Callithrix jacchus: one gene and its partners. Each later gene encodes a partner of the first gene's protein in a complex. Links are inferred from orthologs where the notes say so. Each region holds a gene or a part of one and is shown in the gene's direction. Other genes may lie near its edges.

Region 1 (10,260 bases):
CTTAGTTGGGCATGGTGGTAGGTGCTTATAACCCCAGCTACTCATGAAGCTGAGGCAGGAGAATTGCTTGAATGCAGCGGGTGGAGGCTGCAGTGAGCTGAGACCGTGCCGTTTCACTCCAGCCTAGGCAACAGGGCAAAACTCCATCTTGTCAGGGGGAGGACAATTAAGTTTCCAAATTACTTCAGTCATTTCACACTGGTAAAGTATTGATGGTAAAAATGTTTTTTGGTGCTCATTATGAATAACTGTTGGATACTTCATCAGTCCTCTTCCCTATTGTTAATATATAACAAGCCGGAGAAGTATCAAAACCAGAGATAATTGATTTTTAAGGACATTTAGGGTAGAAGTATTTCAGGATGAACTAGGACTCCTATTGGTTGGCGTTTGGGAGTGTTCTTTTTTTTTTTTTTTTTTCTTTTTTTTAAGATGGAGTTTCGCTCTTGTTACCCAGGCTGGAGTGCAATGGCGCGATCTCGGCTCACCGCAATCTCCGCCTCCTGGGTTCAGGCAATTCTCCTGCCTCAGCCTCCTGAGTAGCTGGGATTACAGGCACGCGCCACCATGCCCAGCTAATTTTTTTATATTTTTAGTAGAGACGGGGTTTCACCATGTTGACCAGATGGTCTCGATCTGTTGACCTCATGATCCACCCACCTCGGCCTCCCAAAGTGCTGGGATTACAGGCCTGAGCCACCGCGCCCGGCAAGGGAGTGTTCTTTTCCTGTGTTAACACACCTTTATCTATTTGCTTTTGGTTTTGCCAGGAAAGAGGCAGGGAAGACATCAGTGAGGTACTTCAGATGCTTCAGGATGCTTAAGCGCTGCTTGCATGGCACATAAGTGACTAACTTGCTTGCATTTTGGCCACTTCACTGGTTGTTAATAGCTCTGCTAGGTTTCCAGAGATAGAAGAAACTGAGTAGAATGTTCTAAAGGTTTAATGAAAGAATAAAGTAAGTGTGGGTTATAAGAAACTGCTATAGTTTTCAGTTGTCTATGCTGACAATGACCAGAAATAACCAAAAGGCATTCAAGAAAGCCCAGTTTGGAAAGGAAAGCTATATTCAGAGAAGACAGAACAGCCCAAAAATGTGGCAACTGAATCAAAAACAAAGACTCAGATGAAATAAAAAATTTTTTTCTAATGTGCTTACTCTGGCACACACATAAATAAAAAGTTCCTCTATGGAGAAAGGTTTAAACCTTTTTTCCCTTCACTGTTTTTCCTTAATTGCCCTCTTAGTAAATAAAGTGCCATGCTTGTTACTTAGGATGTTACTTAGTAACATCCTTTGTTGTGTTGCTTTCCCACAGGTGAATTCATCATTGGCCGAGTTATCAAAGCCATGAATAACAGCTGGCATCCGGAGTGCTTCCGCTGTGACCTCTGCCAGGAGGTTCTGGCAGATATTGGGTTTGTCAAGAATGCTGGGAGGTAGGTGGATTTTCATCCTTGTCAGATGTCAGTGGATAATGTGACTGTGACAAGATCATGTGTATTCTCCATGTGGGATGTAAGGCAGTTCTGTAGGACACCGAATTGAGGGCATGGGAACTTGACAGTGCAGTGTGTTGACTGAATGTTGCTGCTGGGAGTGGACCCTTGTGTTGCTGTGCACAGGGCATAACGGCTCCACGCATGGCTCAACTACCAGCGGGGGATGTACATAGGTGGAGTTTCTTAAAGATCAGTCAGATATTGGGGTTGGAACACATTTTCCATGTAGCTTGATTCTGCTCTGTTAAAAGCAGAGGAGTGATTTTTTTTTTAAAGAAATTGTTTAATTTCTTTTCAGAGATAAGGGAAGCATGTTTCTTTCTAACTATTAGAAAGAACCTAAAATTTTAAATTTAAGTTTTGGCTCCGTTTAGACACCTGTGTCGCCCCTGTCATAATCGTGAGAAAGCCAGAGGCCTTGGGAAATACATCTGCCAGAAATGCCATGCCATCATCGACGAGCAGCCTCTGATATTCAAGAATGACCCCTACCATCCAGATCATTTCAACTGTGCCAACTGCGGGTATTGGGATTGTTTCTTTTTTATTACACAGGCAGTGGGAAGGAAAGATTCCGTTTATCTATATTTCTGTTACTCTAGCAAACCAAATTGTTTTTCTCCAATTTTTAGTCTAGAAAATATTAAAACTATAGAAGGGTCAAGAGAATGATATAATGAAATCTGTGTACCCTTAATTTTATTTCACCATTTAACATGTTATCATGCTTATGTGTGTACAATACACGTTCTCGTTTCACCCTCCCATGTATGTGTGTACGTGTGCATGTATACACATGCCTCTAAAATTTCTCATGACTCAGTATACATCTCCTGAGAATAAGGGCATTTTCCTATGGAACCACGATGCTTTAAAAAAAAATTTTTTTTTTTTAATTTTTTGTTGAGACAGGATCTCACTGTATCGCCCAAGCTATAGTGCAGTGGGCGATCATCACTTGCTGCAACTTCAGCCTCCTGGGCTCAAGCAATCCTTCCACCTCAGCCTCCAGAGTAGCTAGGCAACAGGTACATGCCACCCTTCTCGACTAATTTTTTAAAATTTTTTGTAGAGATGGAGCCTTGCTATGTTGCCCAGGCTGGTCTCAAACTCCTGAGCTCAAGCAGTTCACCCATCTCAGCCTCCCTAAGTGCTGGGATTACAGGCATGAGCCACTGCACCTGGCCAGAACCACAGTACTCTTACCATATAAATTAGCAAAAATTTTATAATATCAACTAGCAGTCCATATTAAAATACCCCCAATATCCCCAGAACTATTTGTTATCACTGTTTTTCCAATAGAAGATCCAAAAATAACCTCAAAAAAAGGTCTTATCTCTGTACATGCATTACTTTTACAGTTGTAATAATTAGGTATTATCTTAAAATACAGTGTTATATTTACTTTGGCTTGGTTTACATCTAAAAGAAATTATTTAATTTTTTGTCTTCAAAAAGTTATGATAAATTGTTGGGCTATGAATTTTCTAAATTCATAGTAAAAATTTAGTGGATAAAGATTCTTTACTGTAGTTAATGTGAACTTACATGCTAAATTATATTAGGGATAGAGAAGAAACAGTAGGCTAAATATTAAGAAAACTGTTTGGTGGTATAAGTTCAGCCATTTCATCTTTTGTGATTGAATTATCAGTTTGTGCTGTATCTTGTTTTCTTGCCTATCCTTCCTCTTGGGAGATTCTCCTCTGTCCACTTTTCCTATAGAATTACTTCAAAGGGGTGAAATTCAAACAAGTCCATTTGACTAATTGGAACCATCTCTGACCAAATGTTTATTGATGCAGGAGAGTGAAAATAATATTTAATTTGAGTATTTGGAGAAGGAAAATTATGGGCATGTGTTTATGAAAATAAACCTAAACCGATTAACCTATAGCTCTTTTCAACAGCTTGTGACAATTTAAATAATTGTTAGTAAATGGAACTAGTCTATCAACTTCTCAGTTTGCTTGGAAAGGTAGTGTCTTAGTCTCTTTTACGTGCCTATGACAGAATACCACAAACTGGGCAATTTGTAACAAACGGAAATTTATTTGGCTCATGGTTCTGGAGGCTAGGAAGTCCGAGATTAAGGGGCTGGCATCTAGTGAGGACCTTCTTGCTGCATCATAACATGGCAGAGGGCATCACACAGTGGGTGGGAGGAGAGGGAAAGGGAGGAAGAGAAGGGAGAAAGCTGAAGTTGTCCTTTTATAAGGAACCCACCCCCTCAGTAACAGCATTAATCCATCCATGAGGGTAGAGTCTTCATGATCTAATCACCCCTTAGAGTCCCTACCTCCTGACACCTGCATTGGGGATCATGCACTTTGGGGGATGCATTCACACTACAGCAGGTAGTATTACTGAATCTACCCTCAGCACTGTGATTATTCCCCATAGCTTTTAAAGGAAGACAAATGGACATAAATGTAATGTGATTATATAAGAAAGAAATGATGAATATGACTGGTGTGGTGGTATATATCTAACCTAGTATTGCATCTTATCCTTTTAAGATACAGATGTTTTGGTAAGAATCTGAAACCTATTCGGACCTATTAATTCAGGTTACTCTGATCACCTCTAAAGGGAGAAAAAGAAATTTGCAGGGATTGTCATAGTAATCTCTTTAAAAACCTTTTAAAAGTTGTCCTGGCCCTATCGGTTGGCTATTTTTCTCTCTTGGTATTAAGCTGGGTGTCTTTCTCACGAATAGGAAGGAGCTGACTGCTGATGCACGGGAACTCAAAGGGGAGCTGTACTGCCTGCCATGCCATGATAAAATGGGGGTCCCCATCTGCGGTGCTTGCCGACGGCCCATTGAAGGGCGCGTAGTGAACGCCATGGGCAAGCAGTGGCATGTGGAGGTAAGTTGAGAGTAACCAATCGTTTCAAACTTCTGTGATTCAGCAGTAATCAATCCTTTCAAATCTCTATGATTTAGGGGTAACCAGTACTTTCAAATCTCCATGATTCAGGTGTCCTGGCAAGATTTAGGAGATTCTAAAGGTTAAACATGGACATTTTAAAGACAACTGACTTGCTGACTGTTCAGAATATAGAATATATACTGCTTTTGTGAATTTCTCAGTAATGATACAGGATGTAGACTTTTGCACCTAAAGCCTTCCTGAAGCAGGAAGTGCCATGGTCTGTATCCAGCAGCAGCTCCTCCTTTATAGGTGCTACTGGGGTACTCATCTATTTGCTCTTTTTGGGCTATTGTAATAGGCTATGTCTTAAAGTAACCTGTCAAAGATAGACACGTGAATTAAAACTGCAAAAGTATTATATTAGGGAGCTACCTATGGCCAAATCAAATGACTATCTCAAACGTTCGTTCATCTTCTCTGAAGATAGGTTAACTTTGTGGTTTATTTTATTAGATATAAAATATGGCAAATCAAAAATGACCTATAGCAATTTTTTTTCAGCATTTTGTTTGTGCCAAGTGTGAGAAACCGTTCCTTGGACATCGCCATTATGAGAGGAAAGGCCTGGCATATTGTGAAACCCACTATAACCAGGTATTGACCTTAGTCACTGGATGCTAGATAGACTTTATGAACTTTGCTTATCAGTAGTTTAGCTACAAGGAAATCTCTTGGAAGATATACATTGTTCAGGAGAGATGTTTTTAACTATTTAGGAAATAATTTCAGACTCAGAAGCTAACTATAAAATAAAAAATAAAAAGAATACCTGTATGCTTTTCATTCAAGTCCACTGTTTACTTTATCATTTTCTATGCTCAGTCTTGCTGTGTAAAACACCTACTTACATAAATATTATACACAAATATGATGGCTGTTTCTAAAGCATTTGCCAATAAATTCATCATACTCCTTTACCCCTAAATACTTCAATATGTATTTCCCAAGAATATGAGACTCTCTAACATAATTGTAGTTATCAGTATTGATATCATACTTTAACCCATTTATTCTAGTTTTGTCACTTGAGTCAATAATGTCCTCACAGCAATTTTTTCTACTCCTAGAAAAAACAGTCTAGGGTTGTGATGTTTTTTTAGCCTTCTTAAATCTGGAACATTTCCAGAGCCTTTTTAAGTTTTTGATGGTATTGACATTTTGGAAGGATGCAGAGGGCCCCTACCCCCTTTTAATAGACTACTTTCCACTTGGGTTCTCTGTGCTTTCCACTGCTGCTTCTCTGTGGTTAGATGAGGTTATACACAGCAGGTTGCAGCCTCACACAGTAGCAGTGCATTCTCTCAGAGCCTTGTCCCTGGAGCCCTTCATAATCACCTCTCTTGCGCTGGTGATCTCCCAGGCACAGTGCTAGCTGATAATATCACTATGAATTACAATTTCCTTCACTCCTTTGTAAGAAGGAAGCAATCTGTGGGCCATCATTTTATGACCATGGAAATGTCTTGTTTCTCATCAACCCACCACACCTTTATGATTCTTGCTTCTGCACCAGCTGCAAATGACAGTTCTCTAGCCCCACACTCTCCACCCATAGTCTGGTCCTCAGCGCTCTGCCTGAGCAAGAACCTACCTCCTCTGCCATCTATAAGTTTATTCATTTATCTGTTTCCTATCCATATATACTCACAGATTTCTATATTTCACATTACTTATTTGGGTGCTCAAATTGTCTTCTGGAAAGATTTTTTTTTAATTGATGAAAGTGAATTGTTTTCACTGTAAAAAGTAAAAATTTGTCAAAGAACTTTTACTAATTTTCTCCAGTAGTGATAAATTCTTGATTTAGATAACCAGCTATTTGTTTTTAAATGTTCCGTATTGTAAAACTTAATTCTAACACATCTTGAACCACCTTTTTTTTATTTTCAGCTATTTGGTGATGTTTGCTTTCACTGCAATCGTGTTATAGAAGGTGATGGTAAGTATCTGTGTGAGTTTTAGATTGGTACCACTTTGACACAGAAACACTTGGGCCATGTGGAAATTCAGGTTGGTGATTGCTGTTGTTTGGAATGTGATCGTTATCAGTTGCTTTTTCTCTTTCTTTGGTGTATTTCCCAAGTAATCTGTAGCAGTAAGATGATAATATCAAAGAGTTGGATTTGTTACTCATTTATGATACTACTTTCAGCCACTGCCACAGTGTTGTATGCCAGCAATCATGGGAACTGTCCCTAGTGGACCATAGACCTGTTTCTGTCCAGTTCCAGGAAGCTCCATAACAACATTTATTAGGAACAGTTTAATCTGCTATGTAGTTAGGAAGAGGCACTTTAACTTGCACATGCTAAAACCTGGCAGTTATCAGCAAGCACATCTAGGACTTACTACCCCTTGTACTGTGGTAATTAGGTTGGACTGATTGACTGGAACAGAAAGGAAGCAGCTGTGTTTGCTAACAGTTGCTAACACAATTCTGCCAGAGACTTCCTGGCAAAGTTTTGAACAATCCTGTTTTCAGCATGATTCATGGCTCCCTGCAGACATCACCTAATTCAGGAAATACTTTTGAAACACTGTTCATGTGCAGTTTGTGAAAAGATTAGTCCAGGAAAACAATCTTCAGTGCCATTGAAAATAAAACTTACCTCCCTCCTCTGTGAAACAGACACCAGGTAAAAGGAGCTACAAGGCAAACTTTCTTGTTATCATCAGCTCTGGAAAAAAGACTCCTACAGACAAATACGTTAATGCCTGGATTTTTCAAAATTATTTACCTAGTTCATATTTCCTTGTTGGGCCAACAGCAGTAGGTACAGAAACACCAAGCTCACCTAACCAATATCATGCATGGACAGTCACCACATGTGCCTGGGCCAAGGGGGCATGGTTGCTGGTGTAAGATATGGCACACATCATTTACACCTTCATAGGATACTTAAGAACAGGGAAAGATTAATGTCAGCCCTCCATATCCAAGGGCTGGATCCAAACATTTGGTGATACAACCAACTATGGATCAAAAATATTTAGAGAAAAATAACAGTATAAAAATAGTACAGTATAATGACTATATATCATTTGCATTGTACTAGGCATTATAATCTAGAAATGATCTAAAGTATGTGAGACAGTGTACATAGATTATGTGCATTTTATATCAGGGACTTGAGCATCTGAGATTTTGGTATCTGCACAGCATCCTAGAAACAGTATCCTGCACATACTGAGGAACAACTGTACACATAAAGGTTGAGGGCCAGGTATGGTGGCTTACGTCGGTAATCCCAGCACTTTGGGAGGCCAAGGCCGGAAAATTGCTTGAGACCAGGAGTTCAAGACCACCCTAGGCAACATAGACTTCCATCTCTACAAAATAAAAATAAAAAATTAGCCAGACATGGTGGCACACACCTGTGGTCCCAGCTGCACAGGAGAATGAGGTGAGAAGATTGCTTAAACCCAGGAGTTCTAACTGTGATCACATCACTGCAATACAGCCTGAACAACAGAGCAAGACCCTGTCTCAAAAACAAAGAAAAAAAAAAGAACCTCTCAAGAAAGAGGTTCTTGGCTGGGCATGGTGGTTCATACCTGTAATCTCAGTATTTTGTGATACTGAAGCAGGCAGATTGCTTGAGCCCAGGAGTTCAACACCGGCCTGGAAAACATGGCAAAACCCTGTCTCTACAAAAAATAAAAAACTAGCCAGGTGTAGGCTGGGCACAGTGGTTCATGCCTATAATCCCCGCACTTTGGGAGGCTGATGCAGGTGGATCATGAGGTCAAGAGATCGAGACTATCCTGACCAACATGGTGAAATCCCATCTCTACTAAAAATACTAAAATTAGCTGGGCATGGTGGTGCATGCCTGTAATCCCAGCTACTCAGGAGGCTAAGGCAGGAAAATTGCTTTATCCCAGAGGGCAGAGGTTGCAGTGAGCCAAGATCATGCTACTGCACTCCAGCCTGGCGACAGAGTGAGACTCCATCTCAAAGAAAAAAAAAATTAACCAGGTGTGGTGGTATGCACCTGTAGTTCTAGCTACTCAGGAGGCTGAGATGGGAGGATCACTTGAGCCCAGGAGGTTGGGTCTACAGTGAGCCAAGATTGCACCACCACACTTCAGCCTGGGCAACAGATCAAGACCCTGTCTCATTAAAAAAAAAAAAAAAGGGTCTCCCCGAGGTGCCACAGACACAGTCATTGCAGTCATAGTTCTGTTTTAGAGTTGAAATTCTAAGCTGCCCTGCTCCCCATACTGATGTATTTCCATGTGACCAGATCTCTTTCCTCTTTGTCTAGTGGTCTCTGCTCTTAATAAGGCCTGGTGCGTGAACTGCTTTGCCTGTTCTACCTGCAACACTAAATTAACACTCAAGTAAGTCTATGGTTTTGTCCAATGTGAATCCTAAGACTGAAAACTTTGGGGTGACACTTAAAAAAATCCTAGAAAAAGAGAATTATTTGATTTCTTATTTCCTCTTTCTGTTCACGCCTTCTGAAAGTAAAGGGTCTTCCTTTAATTTTTCCCTGTTCTTTCTTCTATTCCTTCTTTGTCCTGCTTAAAGGGATAAATTTGTTGAAATTGACCTAAAGCCAGTCTGCAAACACTGTTATGAGAAAATGCCAGAAGAATTTAAGAGGCGACTTGCCAAACGCGAGAGAGAAGCAAAGGATAAGGACAAGCAGAAAAAGAAAAAGCCAGTCTGTTTGTAAACTTTTCTATCCCTCTGTCATCATTTTCACTACTTTCTCCTTTGGTTAGTCCTTTGGAATATGTTTTTGTTCTGTTTCTGCCTTTTGCTTTCTTCCTCCCCCCTACCCCCACAACTTTTGGGCATGTATTTGTAGTCATCAGAGATTGAAATACAAGCATTTGTCCTCTTTAGAGTTGGTCCTTTTGCATAATTACTAAAATTACAAATATTAAATGAATATGCTCCATACTTAATACAGGTTTGTGGTCATATATTTCACTTACTCTGTAGACTCACTCACCTCATTTTTTAAACACCATGTTATACATTTCTATTTTGTTCATGGATTTAAAGGGAAGAATTCTAATCTCTTAATAGACCCTGGAAAAAGTTTTCAAGGATTTTTGTCTAATAACTGTAGCTTTTAAAATCCTGGTTTTTTTGTTTCTTTGCCAAAATCATTTAATTGTTAAATTATAAGTGTTGTTTTATATTTTTTAAAATATGATATTTTTTAAAACTTATGTTCTAAGTTATGTTTTATATTATTTCAGCATAGCCAAGCACAGTGGCTCATGCCTATAGTCCCAGCACTTTGGGAGGCTAGGGTGGAAAGATTGCTTGAGCCCAAGATTCTGAGACCAGCCTGGACAACATGGCCAAACCCCATCTGACAAAAAAAAAAAAAAAAATCAACTTGGCGTGGTGGCCCATACCTGTAGTCCCAGCTACTCAGGAGGCTGAGGTTGCAGTGAACTATGACTATACCACTGTACTCCAGCTTGGGCAACAGAGTGAGACTCTGTCTCAAAGAAAAAAAAATCTTTCAGCATATTTCACATCTAGGCAAAGTCCATCTGATTTACATAAGACATCTTCTTCTGTGATGTTTATGTATGCATTCATACAATGCTCATATGCTATTGTTTATGAATTCATTTCCTCAATGTCTTCAAAGTCTCTTTTATTCCTGATTTTTATGGGAAGTATTTCAATCCTTGACGTTCTCTTAAATTACTAGCATGATTTTTCCATTTTTCCCTCATAGTTACCATTGTGTTTAGAGCTCTAAAAATATTTTGTTTCAGTTTACATGTTTCCTTCTATAAAGAGGAATTAAAATGTAAATATAAGATTAAAACAATGAGCCGGGC
Region 2 (9,853 bases), on another chromosome or scaffold:
CCCCATGGAACCCAGTGGACAAGAGCATTCCCCTAATTGAATCTTCGCCAAAGCCCTCCATGGTAGCTGGGAATCTTCATCTTCATTTTGCAGATGGAGACATCAGACTGCGGCAAGGGAGTGAGGTTTTCAAGGGCACATGTCATTCAGGGCCGAGCATGGTGCAGAAGGCAGAGGTGATTGTCAATCCCAGGGACTCTTGTCCAGGAAGCCTGAGTGCTGGGAGCCAGACAGATGCCGCATGAGCAGCATGAGGGCACATGCTGTCTGCGATGGGACAGTGGTGCCAGAGTCTGAGGGACGGCTGGGGTTTCCCAGGTGCAGGAGGTGGAGAAGCTGTGTGCAGCAAGGCCCTGGGGGGAAAAGGACAAGTCACGAGAGGTCAGGAGGACAGAAATTTTTGTGTGCCTTGCATGGGATGGCATACTTTCTCCTCGTAGGAACTGCAAAGAGTAAGATGTCTTTCAATGTCACTGACTGTTCTCTGTCATCCCGCAGTCAGTGCTATAAATTCAGTCCAAGTAAAGAAAATGTGACACATATATACCATGGAATACTATGCAGCCATAAAAAAGGATGAGTTCATGTCCTTTGCAGGGACATGGATGAAGCTGGAAACCATCATTCTCAGCAAACTGACACAAGAACAGAAAACCAAACACCACATGTTCTCACTCATAAGTGGGTGCTGAACAATGAGAACACACAGACACAGGGAGAGGAACATCACACGCCAGGCCTGTAGGGCGGTGGGGGGGGAGGGTAGGGGAGGGATAGCATTAGGAGAAATACCTAATGTAGACAACAGGGTGATGGATGCAGTAAACCACCATGGCACGTGTATACCTATGTAATAAACCTGCACGTTCTGCACATGTACCCCAGAACTTAAAATATAATTTTAAAAAATTTAACCCAGGTTCATGCAAAACACAGGTCACCAGGGATAGCTTCAGAGGACAGGGGAACACGGACCAGCCAGTTCGTAGTAGCAAGAAGACAGTTTGCAAACCTGCTTTCACTTCCTCTGGTAGAAATAGCACCATTTTTCCTTTGGGGCACACCTTGCCTATCAGAATCCTGCTTCTTTCATTTTTCCAACGTTTTAGTAAGCAGTTACCCTAGAAACTTTTCACTTTTCCTGTTGAAATTAAGCAGAATCCTCACAGGTCACCCTAAGAGGCCCAGAGACATTCACCTACTTGGTTAGTTCTCTACTGGTGCTCTAACAGATTATCAAAAACTTGGTAGCTGAAAACAAATGCATGGATTACCTGACAGTTCTGAATGTCAGAAGTCTGAAATCAGTAGGTCGCGTCCTTCAGGAGATTCTAGGGAAGAATGTGCTTCCCTACCTTTCTGGTTTAGAGAGACCACCGTGTTCCTCGGTTCATAGCTGCTTCTTCCATTTTCAGAGGGTGCAGGGTAACGTCTTCAAATCTTTCACTCTGACCCTCGTTCCTGGTTTTCTTTTTGATTGTTAGGGTCAGGGTCTTGCGCTGTTGCCAGGCTAGAGTGCAGTGGCGTGATTATGGCTCACTGCAGCCTCAAACTCCCGGACTCAACTGATCCTCCCAGCACAACCTCCCGAGTAAGTCGCTGGGACTTCAGGTGTGCTCCACCACACCTGCCTACATTTTTTTTTGCTTTTTGTAAAAATAAGGTATCCCTATGTTGCCCAGGCTGGTTATGAACTCCCAGCCTCAAGCAGTCCTCCCGCCTTGGCCTCCTGAAGTGCTGGGGTTACAGATGTGTACCCCTGCACCTGGCCCCTCCTGCCTCTTTCTTTTAAGAACCGTTCTTATGACACTGAGCCCACGGGATCATCTAGGTTCTTAACTAAGTCACGGCTGCAGAGTCCCCTCTGCCATCTAAATTAACAGTCACAGGTTTCGGGCATTGGATGTGGCTATTTCGGGGGGCGGGGCATTATTCTGTCCACCACCCTTACTTGAAGCCCCGTGGCTCATCAACTGGCAGAGCCAGTAATGGAACACCAGACTTTACATCTTGTTGTGACTGCACTGCCACAGCCATGTCCCCGTGAAAATGGCCACTTATGGCCGCTTAGTAAAACACCACCTCTCATCTGCCCACACAGCTGGAGGAGTTAAAGGATCCTGTGGCGGACAGCAGCGTCACGCAGCCCTGCCGATGACTCACCGAGGAAGTGGGGCGACGCATTTAGCTCTGCCTCAGGTGCTTTCTTCAAAGAGGATTAAACCCTTTGTTCCAGAGGTGTTTGGGGATTTAGCGTTGATAGAAAATACCGTGTTATTTTGCAGGGGAAACGGCCCTAAAGGAGGAAGGTAATCATATAATTATATGGATTTAATCACTCTAGACTGTAAACTGTCCCCCCCCGCCCCGCCCCGTCTGCCCTATTTTTCAACAAGCCTTCGCTCGCTGCTTCCAGTAGGGTACCTTGCTGGCAGGCTTACCAAACCACCCTGCAAGGAAGACAAACCCCATCTCTAGCTTACAGATAAAGAAACTGAGGCACGGAGAGGGAGGCGAACATTGCTGATGACTTGCCCAGAGTCAACAGCTAATAAACGTCAAAAGCAGGATTTGAACAGCAAGTTCAGGGCCACTGGCTCCCACCTGGCCCTTTGTAGTGACTTGCTCCGCAGCCCCAGGATGTTCTGACACACTCAGTGGGATCTGAATATAAAAAGACAGAGACAGAAACATTCCAGTTCTCCCTGAAAAAGGAGAAGAGCCCTGCGGCCTTTGCAACCCCTTCTGAAATCCCTTGCCTGGATTCCCATCCTCAGGGCCCAGGTGAACATCCACCCCTTCTGGGAACCCCCAACCCCCACCTCGGCCCTTCCCTCATTCAAGACGTGACACAAAGCAGCGTCTTGTCAATTCCTCTCAGTTCTGACTGCTCCTCTCCCTCTGCTGACCTCGTATCATTGCCGAGACCCTTTCTTTGCACTCAAGCATTGCTAGGTTTCCATGTGCATGAACTGGGGAGTCATCTTTCTGTTGACTTTTACAATCCTTAAAGTTTGGAGGCTGGGTGTGTGGCTCATGCCTGGAATCCCAGCACAGTTGGGCGGCCAAGGTGGGCAGATTACTTGAGGTCAGGAGTTTGAGACCAGCCTAGCCAACATGGCGGAACCCCATCTCAACCAAAAATACAAAAATTAGCCAGGCCTGCTGGTGCACACTTGTACTTTCAGCTATTCGGGAGGCAGAGGCTGCAGTGAACTGAGATAGTGCCACCATACTCCAACCTGGGTGACATGGTGAGGCTCCATCTGAAAAAAAAGAAAAGAATTCTTAAAGTTGGAAACTGTCTGAATAAGAATGTGCATATATATGTTTTTGCTCTGTGGGAAAAACAGGTCAGAAAATAGAGGAAAGCTCTGTGAGGCTGTAAGGAAGCTGTGAGTGTAGCCGAAGCTGCCGAGGCCACAGGTGTGAAGGCACAGAACAGAGTCAGACCCTTGCTTCCTGCCAGGTGAGAGGAGCTGGGAGACCTCAGCCCTTCAGGGTGTCTCCTCCGCAGTGTTATGCCCCTGAGCATTTTGCCAGTGGCCCTGGGCATCAACATCCCAGGACAAGGGCAGATGCTAGTAGAGCAGTAAGTATGTTTTGGAGCATGCAGGATGAACAGAATGGAGGCTTCTACTTTCCTCTATTTGCTGCATCTCAGAGAGATGCTGAGGGGGAGGAACACAAGTTGGGTCTACCTGGCTAATGCAGGGTGAGCTTTCCGTCCAGCACGGGGTGATCCTAACTTCGAAACTTCCAGAGCCCCTTTTGTCATGTACGGTAACATCCTCCCAGGTTTCAAGGACTCAGACACAGATATCTTTGGAAATTGGGGGCAGCAACAGAGGGAAGGTTGGGCCCACTGAAGGTTCCTCCGTGTCTAAACCAGTGGTCTCTTACCTGGGACCCAGGACCCCCAGGTGCCCATGGCCTCATCTTCAGGGGAACTTGACCCATTTAAAAGTGTAGGCTGGGGGAGCCCCTATAGGTTGAAAAATGTGTTTTTATGGAGCAGATTATCTTGACATATTTCTCCTGTGGCTTCAGAGAGGGCACAGCCAGGCTGGGCAGAACAGGGCTGCTGTCTCCCTTACACCAGCAAAAAGACCTCTAAACTAATTTCTAGAGAAGTCGAAAGCTAATTTGCAGGCTCTAATGTTCTCTGTCTAGGACATACAGAACCTTCTTGATGCAAAAGAACGGGCTCCCCTTTTCCTAAAGCAGGCTCAGCACCTGACTGCATGTGCCCGCCCTGGCTCGTGGGTCTGTCCCTGGCCAGCTCTGAACCCTGCATTCTACACTGTGGGAGAGTGACTGTCATGCAACCTGCTTGTACCACCACTAAGACACTGGGAAGGCTGGAGAAGTTAGAACACAGCATGCCCTCAGAACCAGTGTCCAGCTTTCCTGGGTCACAAAATGAATTGGGCAGTTCCATGAGCCAGCCCTGCCCCCTCAGCCATGCTGCAAATGTCATCCAGAATACCACTATTGCAGGCCAGCAGGGTGGCTCATCCCTGCAATCCCAATACTTTGGGAGGCCAAGGCACGAGGAGTGCTTGGGGCCAAGAGTTTAAGACCAGCCTGGGCAACAAAGTAAGACCCCATGTCTATGAAAAATATTTCAGCTGGGCACGGTGGCTCACACCTGTAATCCCAGCATTTTAGGAGGCCAAGGCGGATAGATCACTGGAGGTCAAGAGTTCAGAACCAGCCTGGCCAACATGGCAAAATCCTGTCTCTACTAAAAATATTAAATTAGCCGGGCATGGTGGCACGCGCCTCTAAGTGCAGTAACTCCGGGAAGGGGACGTTGCAGTGAGCCAAAATCACACCACTGCACTCCAGCCTGGGCAACAGAGTGAGACACGAGCTCAGAAAAAAAAACGCCAGATGCCAGTAAATACTAAACTGCCCAAGATTCCAGCATCCAGAGAAAATATGTATATTCCCTGCGTGGATGTTGGAGCTGGGGCCGCCTGGTAGAGATGCCAGTCTCTGTGCCAGCCCTCCTTCACTTGGTTCAAGTCAACCACAGGCTGTGGAGCCTGGTAATGTCCTTGCTGTAGAGGACCTGAGACACCCGCCAGGCTCTCGTGGAGACACAGTTATATCCATAAAAGGAGCTAAGGTTGAGCTGTGTTTATTTTAGGGTGGCTTTTAATTTGGTTTAATCAGAATCACTCATAGATTATCAATTAATTACCTTCTGCTGTTCAGTTAAATCCTCTCAGCGATGGAGCCAGTTTCAGTGTGCAGTGAATGCCATCCACCGTAATTACAGGGCACTTTGTCAGCATTTCATCAGCGGTACTTATTAACGTGGCATTGATGTGTGGTAGCCAGCCCCATGCCATCCATCATGGGTGAGCAGCCAGTGCAGATTTGGACACCATTGCTCTCTGTCACATCACCCAGCCCTGGGCTTTCACGCCAAGCCTGATGCTCACTCTTCACTAAATGGACACTCCGTCTCTTCCATTCAACCCAATTTTTACCACTGTCGACTTAAACACTCACAAGCTTTTTAACTTCAGTCCAGAACAGCTGAGCTGGGCCTGACCGGTTCTCCCAGTGAGTGTGAAATCCCAAGAGACTGGTCCATGGTTGGACAGCATGGCGTATGTGTGTAAGAGAATTTTATATTCAACACAGCATATGACCCAGAGAACACGCAAGTGATCTTTTGGTTTTCTTTGGCTTACTGAATATTTCTGGAGATTGTTCTATTCCTGAAAGCTCTTCCAATGAAAGCGTATCTTGTGTTGGCAAAATAGATCTGATGGTTTCCTGTCTCTGTCTTTGCAGCCTCTACGGCAGACACATGCAGGCCAACCCAGAGCCACCAAAGAAGAATAATGACAAATCGAAAAAGATCAGCCGGAAACCCCTGGCGGCCAAGAACAGATAAGGAAGGGGTTGGCATCAGGTGGCCTTCCAGCACCTTCTCTCTCCAACACTTCACTCACTCTTGCTCTGTCTCTCAAATAAACACAATGCGTGTATGGCCTTTTTTATATTTCTTTTCACTCTTTCTAATGCTTCCCACCGTACCTTTTAGATTCTTCTGGTAGGTGGGAGATTGTTACAAGGTCTTTAAACCGTTTCCAGTTTTTCTTTTACATTACCAAAAGCATAGAACAAAACTCTTATTCAACTGCAAATTGCATAGTGGGCACAGGCTTTTCTTGAATAGACATCACAAGGTTGCTTATTATCCAAAGAATAATTAAAGTCATGTAACCATTTAAATGTCACTTTTAGTGACATTTTAGTACTTTTCACTCTTCCTGTTGATTCACATAACTCATTATTTTGCTTTATTAAAAGTCTTCCTTCACCACTGAGATATGTTAATTTCACTTACAAATGATATTTTAATAAAGTCTTGAGTTTGTATCACGTTACTTATTGACCCCAAAATAAAGAACAGTCCGATCATGGGGTACAGCATGTTTTCATTTACTTTTCTCCCCAAGATTATCTTGTCCAATTTTATTGGTTATAGATGATAAACTCAAACTTTTCATGAAAGAAATGCAAAATTATATCACAGTTCGTTTCTTCTCACATTAATTTGTCAAGTTTTTTTTTATTTTTCTTCTTTGAAGACTTCTTTCTAAATTAGGAAGCAGAAAAACAACTCTCTAGGAGATTCTGCCAAAGGATTTTGGAAACTAGCATTCCTTCGCCGAAGAAATGGTGATTTCTGCCAGGGGCTGGTAGACAAGAACTGTGAAAGGGAGAGAGATAAAACCCTCAACTATGTTTTTTTGTCTCGGCAGAAAATCTGCTCACATCAGAGCATCCTCCTAAGCGACTTTGTTGCCAAAGAAGTTGTGTAAATGTGCACACACCACACCACACCCAGTGTGGAAACTGCAGTTGCGGAGTCATTACACCTCCAATTGTTTAACATCTGTGATAGACAGCTTTCCTTCGTCTCAACAGTGCTGTGTCTGAAAATGAAAATAAATGCAGGCTGAGGTTTGGCGCCCACTCAAAGGGTTGCCAACCCCAGAAGACCTGCACGGAAGAAAGGTGTGTGAAGATGCGACGTCTTTTCGAATGCACTGGGAGAGGGGGCCCACCCTTCTCTGCTGTGTACTTTCAGCTTCTCACTTGTGCTCCCCTGGGGTGTTTAAAAAGCCAAAATCAAAATCAAACAAAAGTTCTGAGTTAATTAGGAAACAGACTTTGCATTTCAATCAGAGAGGCCGCAGAGCAAGGTCTGAACTTGTGGCTCTGGACAACTTCCTGATAGAACTTTTAACTGTGGGAAGAGGCTTCCCCGGGTGCCATCACCTGTTTTGGGATAGAGAGTTGATCACTGTTTTTCTAGATGCCGTGTTTGTCTCTCCCTCAATTTTTTTTTTTTTTTTTCTTGAGACAGTCTAGCTCTGTCACCCAGGTTGGAGCGCAGTGGCACAATCTTGGCCCAGTGCAACCTCCGCTTCCCGGGTTCAAGCGATTCTTCTGCCTCAGTCTCCCAAGTAGCTGGAATTACAGGCGCCCGCCACCACACCCAGCTATTTTTCATATTTACAGTCGAGATGTGGCTTCACTGTGTTGGCCAGGCTGGTCTTGAACTCCTGACCTTGTGATCCACCCGCCTTGGCCTCCCATAGTGCTAGGGTTATATGCATGAATCACCATGCCAGGACTGCCTGAATTTTTTTAGTTGATTTTTTAACTTGTGAAATTGCAGGAGGGAGAACAATGTCTCTGCTGTTGTGGATCAGAAAAACTTAACCCAAAATTAAACCAGCAAGAAAGCATTAGTAAAAATATAACAATATGCAGGGCTCTTAGGAGTCATTTTTTTCAAAAGATGAAAACTCCAGATACACACAGGAATGAAATACCTCCAAGAAACATGAAGCAGTCATCAAAGACTCACTGGTAATATATTTTTAAAGTACACAAATCAGAGCAAAATAAGCCATGTGTAACAATGAGAAATGTGCAAATATTATGGCAGTATGAAGCGCAAGAGGATTAACATGAAATAAACATTCTCACACACTGCTATTGGGAATGTACATTTCTCTCCAGAAGGGTCGTAGCAGTTTGACAATAGGTAGCAAAACCTTAAAACTGTACTTGGGCCTAGAATTTTAATTTCTAGAAATGTATCCTAAGGAAATTATCAGAGATTCACACAAACTGCAACGTTTAGGAATTGCCGCTATACCATTGTATATGCAGAAAAACAGAGAAAAGCCTGATGCGTGTCAGTGGAAGAAGGGTTCAGTGAATTATGGTGTATCTGCGTGAAGCTTTTACAGGGACATAAAAACTGTTGAGCAACAGCCGGGTGCAGTGGCTCACACCTGTTATCCTAGCAGTTTGGGAGGCTGAGGTGGGCGGATTGCCTGAGCTCAGGAGATCGAGACTGACTTGGGCAACATGGTGAAACCCTGTCTCTACTAAAATACAAAAAATTAGCTGGGCGTGGCAGTGTGCACCTGTAATCCCAGCTACTTGGGAGACTGAGGCAGGAGAATTGCTTGAACCCGGAAGACGGAGGTTGCAGTGAGCTGAGATCACGCCACTGCACTCCAGCCTGGGCGATAGAGAAAGACTCTGTTTCCAAGAAAAAAAAATTGTTGAACAGTAAGGGCAAAGAGAGAGAATCATAACATGATTAAGTAGAAAAAGCAAGATTTTTAAAATTAACTATGTAAGGATGGTCCCAGCTGTGTCAAAAGGAAGCTGTGTTTTTAATATGTATGCATAAAAAATTAAATAGAGATGGAACACAATTTTAAGGCAGATAAATTATCTCTGTGTATGGTGAACTGAGACTTTTTAGAATTTTATACTTATTCATTCTGTACTTAAATTTTTTATAACGCATACTTTTGTAATCAGAAAATATTAAACACATGTATTTTTCAAAATGAAATTGGTATATCATGGTATGTTATGCAATCCAGGAAATATATATATTTAAGCTCAAGGCATAATATACAATGTTCGGGGTGGGGGGATTTTCACTTTTTGTTACCAAAACAGGTTTCACATCTCTTCCTGCAGTTTTTAGTTGCTTGATACCTGGATCAACAAAATATCCAAAGTTTGAAAGGTGCCCCCTATCCCCCGCCCCCCCCCCCTTTTTTTTTTGAGACAGAGTCTCACTCTGTCACCCAGGCTGGAGTGCAATAGCACAATCTCTGCCCACTGCAACCTCTGCCTCCAGGGTTCAAGCTGTCCTCCTATCTCAGCCTCCTGAGTAGCTGGAATTACAGGTGCCTGACACCACACCCGGTTAATTTTTGTAATTTTAGTAGAGATGAGGTTTCACCATGTTGGCCAGTTTGGTCTCAAACTACTGATGTCAGGTGATCCCTTCCGCCCACCGGGGCCTCCCAAAGTGCTGGGATTACAGGCATGAGCTACCGTGCCCTGCCAGTCTATGGCTGCTCTTATGTGACCACAGCAGAGCTGACTGGCTGACACAGAGACCCTATGGCTCAGAAAGCAAAAACTTTTTACTGCCTGGTCCTTTCCAGAGAAACTACTGCTGATGATTCTATCAGCTGTTACATCCCCAGCACCCAGAATGGTGCCTTGTATACAGTAGGGGCTCAGTAATTATTTAATTGAATAGACTACAAATTGGATACTTGTTATTTGGATGATATAAAGCTAATATTAAGGAAGAGGGAAGTGAAAAATTCCTAGATATTCCTTTAGTGTCTTCTGCTTCGTCATTCAAGCCTACTTTATCAAAGCCAAATTCCCCTAAGGAAGAAAACAATCTGCAAGTATTATTATAGGTGAGAGTTTATACAACCCTGTAAAAGTTCAAGCCTTTACCCAATTTTTTGGTGGTTCTTATAATTAC
Region 3 (10,785 bases), on another chromosome or scaffold:
AACTTTTCTCCTTCTCTGACTGCTTCATCTAAATCAGCAGATATCCCTAAGGGAAAAGTGGGCCCAAAGCGACAGGCTCCCCTCCAAAGGCTGCAATGAGCTGAGATCACGCCATTACACTCCAGTCTGGATGACAAGAGTGAGACTCTGTCTCAAAAAAAAGGAAAAAAAGTATGGATTCTATAGATATTTGGGAGAACAGATCCTAAAAGCTGAAGTTAGTCTCTCTCTCATTATTGGCTACTTGTGATCTGTAGCCCATAATTTACATTCTGGGTTTTGAATAACTTGTCCATAAAATGGCCGTGATGATAATACCATGTATGAGTCTCAAATGAGATACTAATAGCCAATATTTCTTGAACTCAGGTCTTATCATCTGCCAGGCATTGAGTTGAGTTGCTTATTTATTCTCATTCTCTTGGTCCTCTCAACAACCTCATGAGGAAAGTACTCATTTTATGATAAAACTGAGGCAACAACAAGGTTGAACTACTTGCACAGGATTATACAGCTTTGGCTGCAGAATGGTGATTTGAACCCATATGCTTCACCACTACATGATCCTGCCTCGTACGTCACACAGCCTGACTGTTGGCATTACAGAAGAAAGATGACAGGACTGGGACAGGAAAGCTGCTGGGTGGCTGACAGCAGCACAAGTTTAGCTAGAAATGTAATTGCCTAAGAAAAAGGCTGGGGACAGGACTGGCCTAGCTTTTTTTTTTTTTTTTTTTTTTTGGAGTCAAGAGTTTTGTTCTTGTTGCCGACGCTGGAGTGCAACGGTGCAATCTTGGCTCACTGCAACATCTGCCTCCCAGGTTCAAGTGATTCTTCTGCCTCAGCCTCCCGAGTAGCTGGGATTACAGGCATGCACCACCATGCCTGGCTAATTTTTTGTGTGTATTTTTAGTAGAGATGGGGTTTCTCCATATTGGTCAGGCCTGCCTTGAACTCCTGACCTCAGGTGATCTGCCCACGTCGGCCTCCCAAAGTGCTGGGATTATAGGTATGAACCACCACTCCCAGCCTGAACTATGAAGTTTTGAGTAACATGGGCCACCCAGGGATTTGGAGGAGACTAGACATAAAAGAAATCCTACGCTCCCATGGCTTCATTTTACAAAGTGAAACCTATAGTCCCATGGCTTTGTTTGAAAAATTAATCATATTTGTGATAAGTTCGTAATTTTTTTTTTATTTGTTTTTGAGTCAGGGTCTGGCTCTGTTGCCCAGCCTGGAGTGCAGTGGTCCACTATCGGCTCCCTGCAGCCTTTGCCTCCTTGGCTCAAGCCATCTTTACACCTCAGCCTCCTGATTAGCTGGGATTACAGGTGCACACCACTATACCTGGCTAATTTTTGTAGAGATAGGTTTTTGCATGTTGTCCAGGCTGGCTTTGAACTCTGAACTCAAGTGATCCACCCCCCCTTGGCCTCCCAAAGTGCTGGGATTACAGGTGTGAGCCACCCCCAGCAGTAGATTTTTATTGAAGTATAAAATATATACAGAAAATGTGTGCTGAAAGTACTAAGTGTATGTTCCATTGGTTTTTAAAAGTGAATATATCCATGTAACCAGTACGCAGATCAGGAAACAAAACATTACCAATTCCAGTGGCCTTCCTCATGCTGTCCACCCCATTCTAGTCACTACCCCGTCCAAGGCTAATCAATATCCTGACTTCTAACATTATGGAGTAGTTCTGCCTGTTTGTGAACTTTACGTAAATAGAATTATACAGTATGTGCTCTTTTGTGTCTGGTTTCTTTTGCTCAACATTATATTGTGAGATACATTCCTATTGTGCCTGTAGTTGCAAATTTTTCACTCATTGCTGTGACTATCACAATTCATTGATTCAACTGTTAACAGGCACTTGAATGGTGCTTCTGTGAACTTTCTAGAGCCTGTATCTGGGTGTAAACACGTACTCATTTTTGTTGGGTGTTTCAACAAACACCCAACCTGTAATTGAAATTAACCTATAATTGAAATTGATGATCATAAGGTATGTATGATGGTTGGCTTTAGTAGGTATTGCCTCGGCTTCATTTTATACATGATGGGAAAAATAAATGCAGCAAGGGAAGAGATTTATCCAAGATCACCTGGCTGCTGAGCTAAGATTGGAACTTGAGTTTATTCTCTTCCAGTGTGGTGTGTCTAGACCCCAATTTCAAGAGGCTGCCTAGAGATTCAGCAGAGTCTCACACAACACACATTTAATTGATTATCTGTCCTTACAATCTAATCCCTCGTGTAAGATGAAAACCATGACCAAGCATGAGCAGGGCTGCTGTTCAGTGGAGACATAATTGTAAATACCAATTAGATTGGAGGGAGCTGGTACGAGGTCTTCTCCTCATCTTATCCAAGAACAGCATGCAGCGTGTCTCTGACTAAGTAAGATTTAGATTCAGTCGACATCAGTGCCAGACCCAGAGATGGTGCTTTCCCACAGAGTATCTCATTTAATCTTCCAAACAAAAACCAGATCAATTCACATTCTTAAGGATTCTAAAAGCATATCAAAAGCGAGTAGATGAACTCTGTAAGTAAACAGGAACAATGTAGAACAGAGCTTCCCAAGCAATCTGTGCTAAAGGACCGATTCATTGCAGAGCAATATTTTTGTAAATAAAATAAAAATAAAAATTACTAGCAAAATTGAATGAAAAGATATTCGAAATATAAGATTCTGATTCTCAGACATAAGTGTTGTTAAATTGCTATAAAAGTTTCTAAAAGCTCTCAATTTCTACATTTATATCATTGGCTAATAACGGTATCCAGATCAATACTGGTTTGCAGAGTATGCTGTGAGCAGCACTGATTTATGATTCATCACCCATTCCTACTGGTCTTTTCAGAGAGAGTGATAATGATCTCACAAGTAGAAATGCTTGAATAACAAGATATCGGCATAGTATCGAGGCCCTGCAAACCATTCACACCAACGCAGGTTACTGAATACATTAACAGGACTTGATGGTTCCCCTGTCTATCTTCCAAAAATTTCTTCCCCAGGAAGATAAAAGTTATGAATAACTTTCTTATTCTTTTCAATAACTCGCCCCAAAATTTCATCAATGAACATAAACTCATTAGACTTTTGAATAGATAGCATAAAAAAGACTATTTACTCTGCAAGAGTCTAGGAAGGCTTTGCCTTGAGTCTACCAGTCCTAAACTATTACATCATGATCCTTAGTCAAACTTAATCAAGCACCACTGCGCTGAAAGGCCTGTCTTAATCAAGATTCTAAAACTTATAAATATCCCTCCTTTGCCTTCCCCCACTCCAAGATGCTACTAAGACTCTGGCAAGGCAGGGCTCTCCTTATCATGGGGTACAAAAAATGCAGCTTTGCCTTCTTCCACAGCTTATTTTGCTGATATTTTCTGGGAGCTACCATTCAACAATCAAGACTCTATTCTTCCGTTTAGTGTTGCTCAGTGGTTTTCAATGTTTAGTGTACATAACAATTCCTGAGGAGTATTATATATGCAAAAGCATGCATGGGCAATTGAAGGCATCTCCAAGAGTAATTTGATTATGCCACATTTAGGACTAAGTCTTGCATACAGATATTAGCAATTTTTGAAAGAAGAGAGAACCACAGACTGTTAGAGCTGAAAGTAGCCCTAAGTGGCAAGACATCAGTGTGTGAATCAGCTATTAATACACTGAAATTACCTGATGTAGTCTGTTTAAAACATACCTATCCCTTGGTTTCACCTGAGATCTACTGAATCAGGATTTCTGGAGATGGGGCCTGTGAATGTAACAAACTCCTAGGGGACTGTGATGCACAATCGAGTTTGAGAACCACCATTCCGTACCAACCATTTCATTTTGTAGATGAGGAATGGGGACTCAGAAAAGGGAAGTAAACCTTCCCAAGATCACACAGCTATTGAGCTGTGTGTCTCTTAATTACCTGACAAGAGCTCCCGGGGCTGGAGATATGCTTTTGGAGATGTCCTGTATCTGATATCCTGAACAAAAATGATTAATGATGTAATCAAAACACAGTTCTATTTTGGCTTCTCACCATCCCTTTAAGATTTATTGGCTAGTAATCTTCCCAGGCTAACAGACATCATGACTTCTCTGCTTCTAGGTAAGAGGCACCAACTAAAGTAGAATTAAAAAAAAAAGTAAAATTATGACTCTCAAGCAAAGATAAAATGAACCTATACAGTGTTGAGAACCTATTGACTATCTTGTTTATTACATTTTAGTTCTACTCAGAAACTGCTGCTTGTCAGTTTATTTAGTCTAAGGAAAGGTAGATGGGTTAATAAAAGGTTGAGATCTTCTGGGAAGGAATTGCAGCTGGCCCTGACAGGAAGTGCAAGTGGGGTCTGGGAAAAGATTCAAGGTCCAGGCAGCTACTCCCCATGGTTTCCATTACTCAGACCACGTGGCTTCTTGAGCACACTTCTTAGTTCCATTTTTTTGTTTCCCTACTAGTTAGCATGCACGTGGCTAGAAACAGCCACCCCAGTCTTGACTGCGAATGATCATCAGTCATGTGGACAACTTCTGACAACAGTCTCTCCAGCTTAGGGCAGAGTCTTAAGTGGGGCTAGCCGATAGGCTGCTCTCCAGTAAAGCAGTAGCCCCCTTTGGCTCAGGTGTTCACCTAGGTTCAATCAGCTGTAGCCTAGAGGGAAGGGGCCACAAGGAGGAAACACAGTTGCCAAGGCGCTGTGAGTCTGTGTGTGTGAGAGAGAGACGGACAAAGAGCCCGTGTGAGAACTTGAGGTGTGCAAGCACAATAAATAACACATGCCTTTTCAATCATTTCCAGTATGAGTCCTTCCAACACTGCGCTTTGTGTGACTCCCCTGTTATCTTCAATGAGTCTGGTCGTCAGTCTCTTGCTTTTACTTAGGCAGGGTAAATTTGGGGAAAGGTCCTGTAGGAGCTTATGGTTTTGTCTTTCCCATTCATGTTTCTGCCACCATGTGGGATCTTCCTTTGTATAAACCACTGAGCTGCTAGAAACACGGATGTCTTACAAGAATAAGAAGCCTCGGCTCTACCCTTGTGCACTCCAAGTTTCTCAGTCTTGGATGGGAGAAGAGGTTGACGGTCATGGATAGATTCAAGAGTGACTGGCTGTGCCCACTTTGGTGGGGCCTGGACACATTTTGGTTCACTCCAGTAATTTCTTCCAGGAGCTGCAGTCTCGTGGGCACAAGACGTGGATCTAATAATCCCACAGGCAGCAGGGCTGGGGAAGAGCCAGCCCGGCTGGAAGGCCCTGGGGCAGTAACAGGGTTGGGTTGGTTCTCAGATCTGCTTTGCGCCAGGCTGTGTGGTGCCTGGGTAAATGAAGCTTTCCGCTTCGAGCGCTCCTAAACTGAGCACACAGGGACGGCCTCGTGTCCTGCGAAGGACAGTTTTGAGGCATCCTCCCTGCTTGGGGCAGGCCAGGGGCGCAGGGTGCAGTCCCGGGAGCGCAGCTCCTTCCAGGACAGAGGGCGGCGCGAGGGAGGGAGCGAGGGAGGGAGCGAGGGAAGGGAAAGGCGAGCGTGAGCTGCCTCAAATGCTTGGAATAATTCCGCTTCCGTTTGGAAAGCCGCAGCCTCAGTCCTGCCGCCGCCCGCCGCGTCCGCCCAGCGCTAGCTCCGCGTCCCGACCGGCCCGCGGCTGCCTGCGCCGCGCCATGGCCACCTCCCCACAGAAGTCGCCTTCTGTCCCCAAGTCCCCGACTCCCAAGTCGCCCCCGTCCCGCAAGAAAGACGACTCCTTCTTGGGTAAACTCGGAGGGACCCTGGCCCGGAGGAAGAAAGCCAAGGAGGGTGAGTGCGGCCGAGCCGGCCGGTGGAAGCTGTGGGCGGTGGAAGCCTGTGGTGCCGGAGGGGCTGAGGGGCCCGGGCGCCGGGGCCGGGCGGGAGCGTGCCGCGGGTGCCCGGCGCGGTGGGGCGCGCAGCAATGCGTGCGCGCGCTTCCTGGGCACGTCGGGCAGGAGCGACGCGCGCCCCACACTGAGTCCGGGGCTCGCGGGCTATCGGGGCCGCCCCGCCCGCTCGCGGCCGTCCGGGCGCTGGCTTCCTGGGCCGGGGACCAGGCCGACGGCCCCGCCGGGCCGTGGGCGGGCGCCGCGTGGCGGCCGGAGGCGGCGGGACCCGAGCCCAGGCCGGGCCCCAGCCCTCAGGCGGCGCGGTTCTGTAGGCCCTGCCCCGCCCTCTGCGCCCGAAGGCTGGCATTTCCCAAGTTTCCGCCGCAACTTTCCTGGGCGCCGTCACTCTCACTCGTTGCCTTCATTGGTCCTTAAAATCAGGTCGTTTCCTGGACCTGCTGACGTCCTCTGGCAGCGGCGTCGCAGTGTTGGCCTCTTGGGATCTTTTGTCCATCCCGAGGGCCGAGAAGGGCTCTGTTAAATGGGAGTAGGTGGACTTCGAGTGTTTGTTGAATGAATGAGCGGAAAACTGGCAAACCTAGTGTACCTTCGGTGTAATAATACATGGTAAACTCCCACCCAAGGAGAAAACTTGCCGGGGACACAAACATAGCCATGGGCCTCGGCCCTGCTGTGAACTCAGGTATTCAGGGATTTTGCAAGCACCCCCCCCTCCCCCCGCCAACCAGGGTTAATTGAGGAGACCTTATACTTTGTTTTTTTCCCCCAGAGTGGTTTGCACGTAGAATATTTTTTCCCCAGGAGCAGATTTTGCATCCTGGTTTTTGGTTTGAAAACAGGTGGCAGTTCTCAAGCACAGTGGTGATTGCTGTGTAGATAGAAGCTGAGTTAAAAATTTTTATTTTAAACATTTTTTAATTGATGCATGATGTACATAGTTTTGGGGCACATGTGATAATTTAATGTAATTTATAAAGATCAAATTGTTACAGGAAAGGGGTCCGGATTCAGACCCCAAGAGAGGGTTCTTGGATCTCACGCACCAAAGAATTCAGGATGAGTCCATACAGTAAAGTGAAAGCAAGTTTATTAAGAAAGTAGAGGAATAAAAGAATGGTTACTCCATAGATGGAGCAGCCCCCAGGGCTCCTGGTTGCCCATTTTTATGGTTATTTCTTGATGATGAGCTAAACAAGGGGTGGATTGTTCATGCCTCCTCTTTTTAGACCATATAGGGTAACTCCTGAACGAAGTGGCCGTGGCATTTGTAAACTGTCATGGCGCTGGTGGGAGTGTAGCAGTCAGAAGGACCAGAGGTCACTCTCATCACCTTTGTGGTTTTGGTGGGTTTTAGCCTGCTTCTTTACTGCAACCTGTTTTATCAGCAAGGTCTTTATGGCCTGTATCTTGTGCTGACATCCTGTCTCATCCTGTAAGTTAGAATGGCTTAACCTTTTGGGAATGCAGCCCAGTAGGTCTCACTCAGCCTTATTTTACCTAGCCCCATTCAAGATGGAGTTGCTCTGGTTCACATGCCTCTGACAAAATCAGTGTACTTGGGATATCCATCACTTTAAATATTTGTCTTTTCTCTGTGCTGGACCATTGGAATTCTAGATATTTTGAAATATACGATAGGTTATTATAAACTGTAGTTACTTTACCAGTCTAACACTAGGTCTTATTTTTTCTATCAAATGGTATATTTGTAACCGTTAATCAACTTCTCTTCTCCCCTAAAAAATGTTTTTAATAGATTACTCTGTGAATTGGAAATAACCTTTTGAAAGCTGTGATGATGTGTAAAATGTGTTATGTTTGTAAATTATCTAAAAGTATAAAAGCATCTTCAGTGTTGAGGATTATCAGACTTGGTGAAGAACCAGACTTCTGTTCCCTAGATTGAAACAAGAAGTAGCAAAACACATGAAAGTTTCTCCACAATTTGGTTATTTTGGTAACCCATTGAGTAGTGTACAGTTGGTGGCAAATCATGAAACCCTGGCTTGGAAAACGCTTTTCTAGATCATATTTCTAACTTCTTCCTCACAGCTTTCCTGACATAGGCTCATCCAGTTTAAGATGGGGCAACTCAGAAATATTGAAGCTCATGACCTACCAGGAGAACCATCTTTACCTACTCTGTAGAAAGGTTTACTTTATATTTAGCCCAAAATTTATCTCTTCATACCCACTGCTGTTGGTGGAGCCAAAGAATGAGTCCAAGGTGGACTTTTATTAATACCTTGCTGACGTAGGCTATCCTGCTTTCTAGAGTCCTCTCCACCAGGTCCAACATCCTCTATCCCTCACAGACATAATTTTAAGGCCCTTTGCATCCTGTCTGTTTAGTTTCAGTCAGGGTCGCTGCAGGAAAAAGGCCAATTTAGTTGAGATTTTGAAAATAATTTAGTGAAGGGGCTATTGACAGAGCTGTGGGCAGGGTTAAGGGAACTAAGAAGGGATGCTAAGGTCCCTAGGGGCTAGCAACAGGAAGAAGCACTTACCACTCCAAGGCCTGAAGGGACAAGGGCAGCAAAATGGAACCTGTTACAAGCTGGGGCTATGGATGAGGGGTTACTGGACAGGAACTGTAGTCATAGAGGGATGCAGCCACTGCCAGAAATATGCAGGCGGAGCAAGGAGAGAGTGACACAAGAAATGCACATTCTGCATGTTCTCTCTCTTCTTGCCCTTGCATCTCCTACTGGTGTTGAACCCAGTGGGGAGTCATCAGAGCAAGGGATCTGGATAATGCAATATATAGAGGCAGCTTCCTTGGGGCACAGAGCAGTGCAGAGAACAGGTCACAGTAGGGACAGGGTAAATGGAGAATACCTAGCAGATCAACCTGTTAGCAGACACGCTCAAAGTGAGCTCTCCAGAAGTCACCGTAGTACAGTTGTAATGCAGATCAGCCAGCCCAGATTAGGACTGTCGCCTCCCTTATTCTAGTACAGACACTATGTTCTTTTAATGCAGCTAAGATTGCTTTTTGCCATTCTGCCAGCTATGTCGCATTGTAATCTCTCATTGAGCTTTGCTATCAGCTTACTCAAAGACATTTTTATATTTGTTGCTCCTAAATTACACCCTTCCCTATCTTGGATTTACTCAGTTGGGTTTTTGAAACCAAGTGCAAGATCTTATTTTCATCCCTGTTATATTTCACTGTAAAGTCCTGATTCTGTCATTCAGTCTGTCAGCTAATCCAGGGGCTGTAAATAGATGAATGGGAGAACACATAGCCTCTTCTGAAGGGCTGGCCACCACCCAGCTCCAGCTGCTTGCTGCTGCACATGGTGTTTCTGCAAGCCCAGTCAAAGAAGGCAGTGGGTTGTTCTGAAATGACTGTCCTTAGTGAGTATGTGCTGGATCGCAATGATCAGTGCTGAAGTGATGGTTGGTAGGTGTAGGGCCCCATTAACCGTCAATTCAGTAATAATAAGGCTGGGTCTTGCTCTGCATGCTGGATAAGCTCACAGCTTTATGCTCTGTAGAATCTGCCTTCTTTTACTTTCTCCCTGGTGTTCTTGAACTTGTCATTCCTCAAGATCACTGCCATTAGTCTGTCCACAAATTATCTCCATGCTTTGATGTAGAATTCTCCTGGGCCCAGGGACTCCCATTCATTCATTTGATACCTGCTGTACCCCGCTCTAGGACACAACAAATGGAAAGATATAATACTTGTTAGAATATAGTTGACCCTTGAACTATATGGAGGTTATGGATGTTGACCCCCTGTACAGTCAAAAATCTGTGTATAGTTTTTAACTCCCCCCATACTTAACTACTAATAGCCTACTGTTGACCAGAAACCCTACTGATAAGTCAGTCAACACATATTTTGTATTATATACTGTATTCTTTCAATAAAGAAAACTGGAGAAAAGAAAATGTTCTTAAGAAAATCATAGGGGAAAATACATTTGCAGAACTGTGCTATATTTATCGATACCATAAGTTTACGTCATTTGTCTGAAATGGCAGGTAACCACAGCTGCACACCTCAATCTATGGTACATATCAAGCAATTCAACTTAGAATGTCATGACTTTCTCTGATACTTGGGAGTACTTCTAGCGTCTCTAGTGGCACTTCGTTAGAGTCCCATGCTGTTAGTCAAGGTTTATGGTATTGCACTAAACATGATGAAAAATACACGAGAACCTCAAGAGATCACTTTTAACTGCCATACACAATTTACTGGAGAGATGAACTGTTCCTGTCGAGATGATTAGCATCACACGGTGTTTTAAGCAGATACTTGCAGCACTTGAGCTCACCACAATAGCAACAGGAGGTAGCTGTGGAATTATTACTGTAGTACAGTATGTACGACAGTTCATTTTGTGCAGTGAGGATTTAATACTTCACCTTTACGTTTACATTTCTCTCAACTGCAGATGGCATCAGGTACAGTTTTTGTGTGTCTGTGCACATTTTGATAAGTTCTAACTTTTTATAATAGATTTGTTTATATTTTATTGTAGCAAATGAGAAGGTAGACAAGTATCGATGTATATTTAATGCATTTATGACATGAGTAACTTTTTTTTATATTTCTAGGCTACATGGTTCATCTGCAAGGTTTTTCTAATTGTCACAAATCTCCAAAAACATTTTCCCATATAGTTATTGAAAAAATTTGCATATAAGTGGACCCTTGCAGTTCAAACCTGTGTTGTTCAGGGATCAATTGTATTATGTTAATAATGTCATGTAAAAAATGTCCTCCTAAGGAAACCTATGTCATAGAATGACGATGAGTCTCATAAGAATGGCTCACGCCTGTAATCCCAGCACTTTGGGATGCCAAGGCGGGTGGATCACGAGGTCAAGAGATTGAGACCATCCTGGTCAACATGGTGAAACCCCGTCTCTACTAAAAATACAAAAAATT

What was found.
Region 2: the proteins of LIMS1 (region 1) and RSU1 are in contact, whole or in part, in a crystal structure (PDB 7LT9), measured with the Homo sapiens proteins. The link is inferred for Callithrix jacchus from reciprocal best matches to the Homo sapiens genes LIMS1 and RSU1. Residues at the interface, in NP_001180417.1 of Homo sapiens: Cys252, Phe253, His254, Cys255, Asn256, Leu267, Asn268, Lys269, Ser279, Thr280, Cys281, Asn282, Thr283, Glu293, Phe294, Asp295, Met296, Lys297, Cys303, Lys306, Phe307, Pro308, Glu310, Leu311, Arg314, Leu315, Lys317, Leu318, Ala319; in NP_036557.1 of Homo sapiens: Asp21, Ser23, Asp24, Gln44, Val46, Ser48, His49, Val67, Asn69, Phe71, Asn72, His90, Asn92, Met95, Glu112, Asp115, Thr117, Tyr118, Arg137, Ala138, Tyr140, Ser142, Asp143, Ile161, Ser163, Arg165, Asp166, Glu184, His186, Gln188.
Region 3: LIMS1 (region 1) and PARVA share a complex: the UniProt entries of both Homo sapiens proteins name them as parts of the heterotrimeric IPP (ILK-PINCH-PARVIN) complex. The link is inferred for Callithrix jacchus from reciprocal best matches to the Homo sapiens genes LIMS1 and PARVA.

What each region holds. Positions count from the first base shown.
Region 1 is NC_133515.1:20,415,270-20,425,529, reverse strand, and holds part of LIMS1 (LIM and senescent cell antigen-like-containing domain protein 1), read left to right. Parts: intron 1-1,320; coding exon 1,321-1,441; intron 1,442-1,878; coding exon 1,879-2,028; intron 2,029-4,226; coding exon 4,227-4,377; intron 4,378-4,944; coding exon 4,945-5,037; intron 5,038-6,333; coding exon 6,334-6,382; intron 6,383-8,711; coding exon 8,712-8,787; intron 8,788-8,977; coding exon 8,978-9,125; 3' UTR 9,126-9,169; intron 9,170-10,260. UniProt on the Homo sapiens protein: Within the IPP (ILK-PINCH-PARVIN) complex, binds to F-actin, promoting F-actin bundling, a process required to generate force for actin cytoskeleton reorganization and subsequent dynamic cell adhesion events such as cell spreading and migration.
Region 2 is NC_133508.1:17,410,441-17,420,293, reverse strand, and holds the end of RSU1 (ras suppressor protein 1), read left to right. Parts: exon of another isoform or gene 1-353; intron 354-2,163; exon of another isoform or gene 2,164-2,296; intron 2,297-2,604; exon of another isoform or gene 2,605-3,266; intron 3,267-5,209; exon of another isoform or gene 5,210-5,811; coding exon 5,812-5,914; 3' UTR 5,915-6,451; downstream 6,452-9,853. UniProt on the Homo sapiens protein: Potentially plays a role in the Ras signal transduction pathway. Capable of suppressing v-Ras transformation in vitro.
Region 3 is NC_133511.1:78,267,123-78,277,907, forward strand, and holds the start of PARVA (alpha-parvin), read left to right. Parts: upstream 1-5,588; 5' UTR 5,589-5,681; coding exon 5,682-5,817; intron 5,818-10,785. UniProt on the Homo sapiens protein: Plays a role in sarcomere organization and in smooth muscle cell contraction. Required for normal development of the embryonic cardiovascular system, and for normal septation of the heart outflow tract.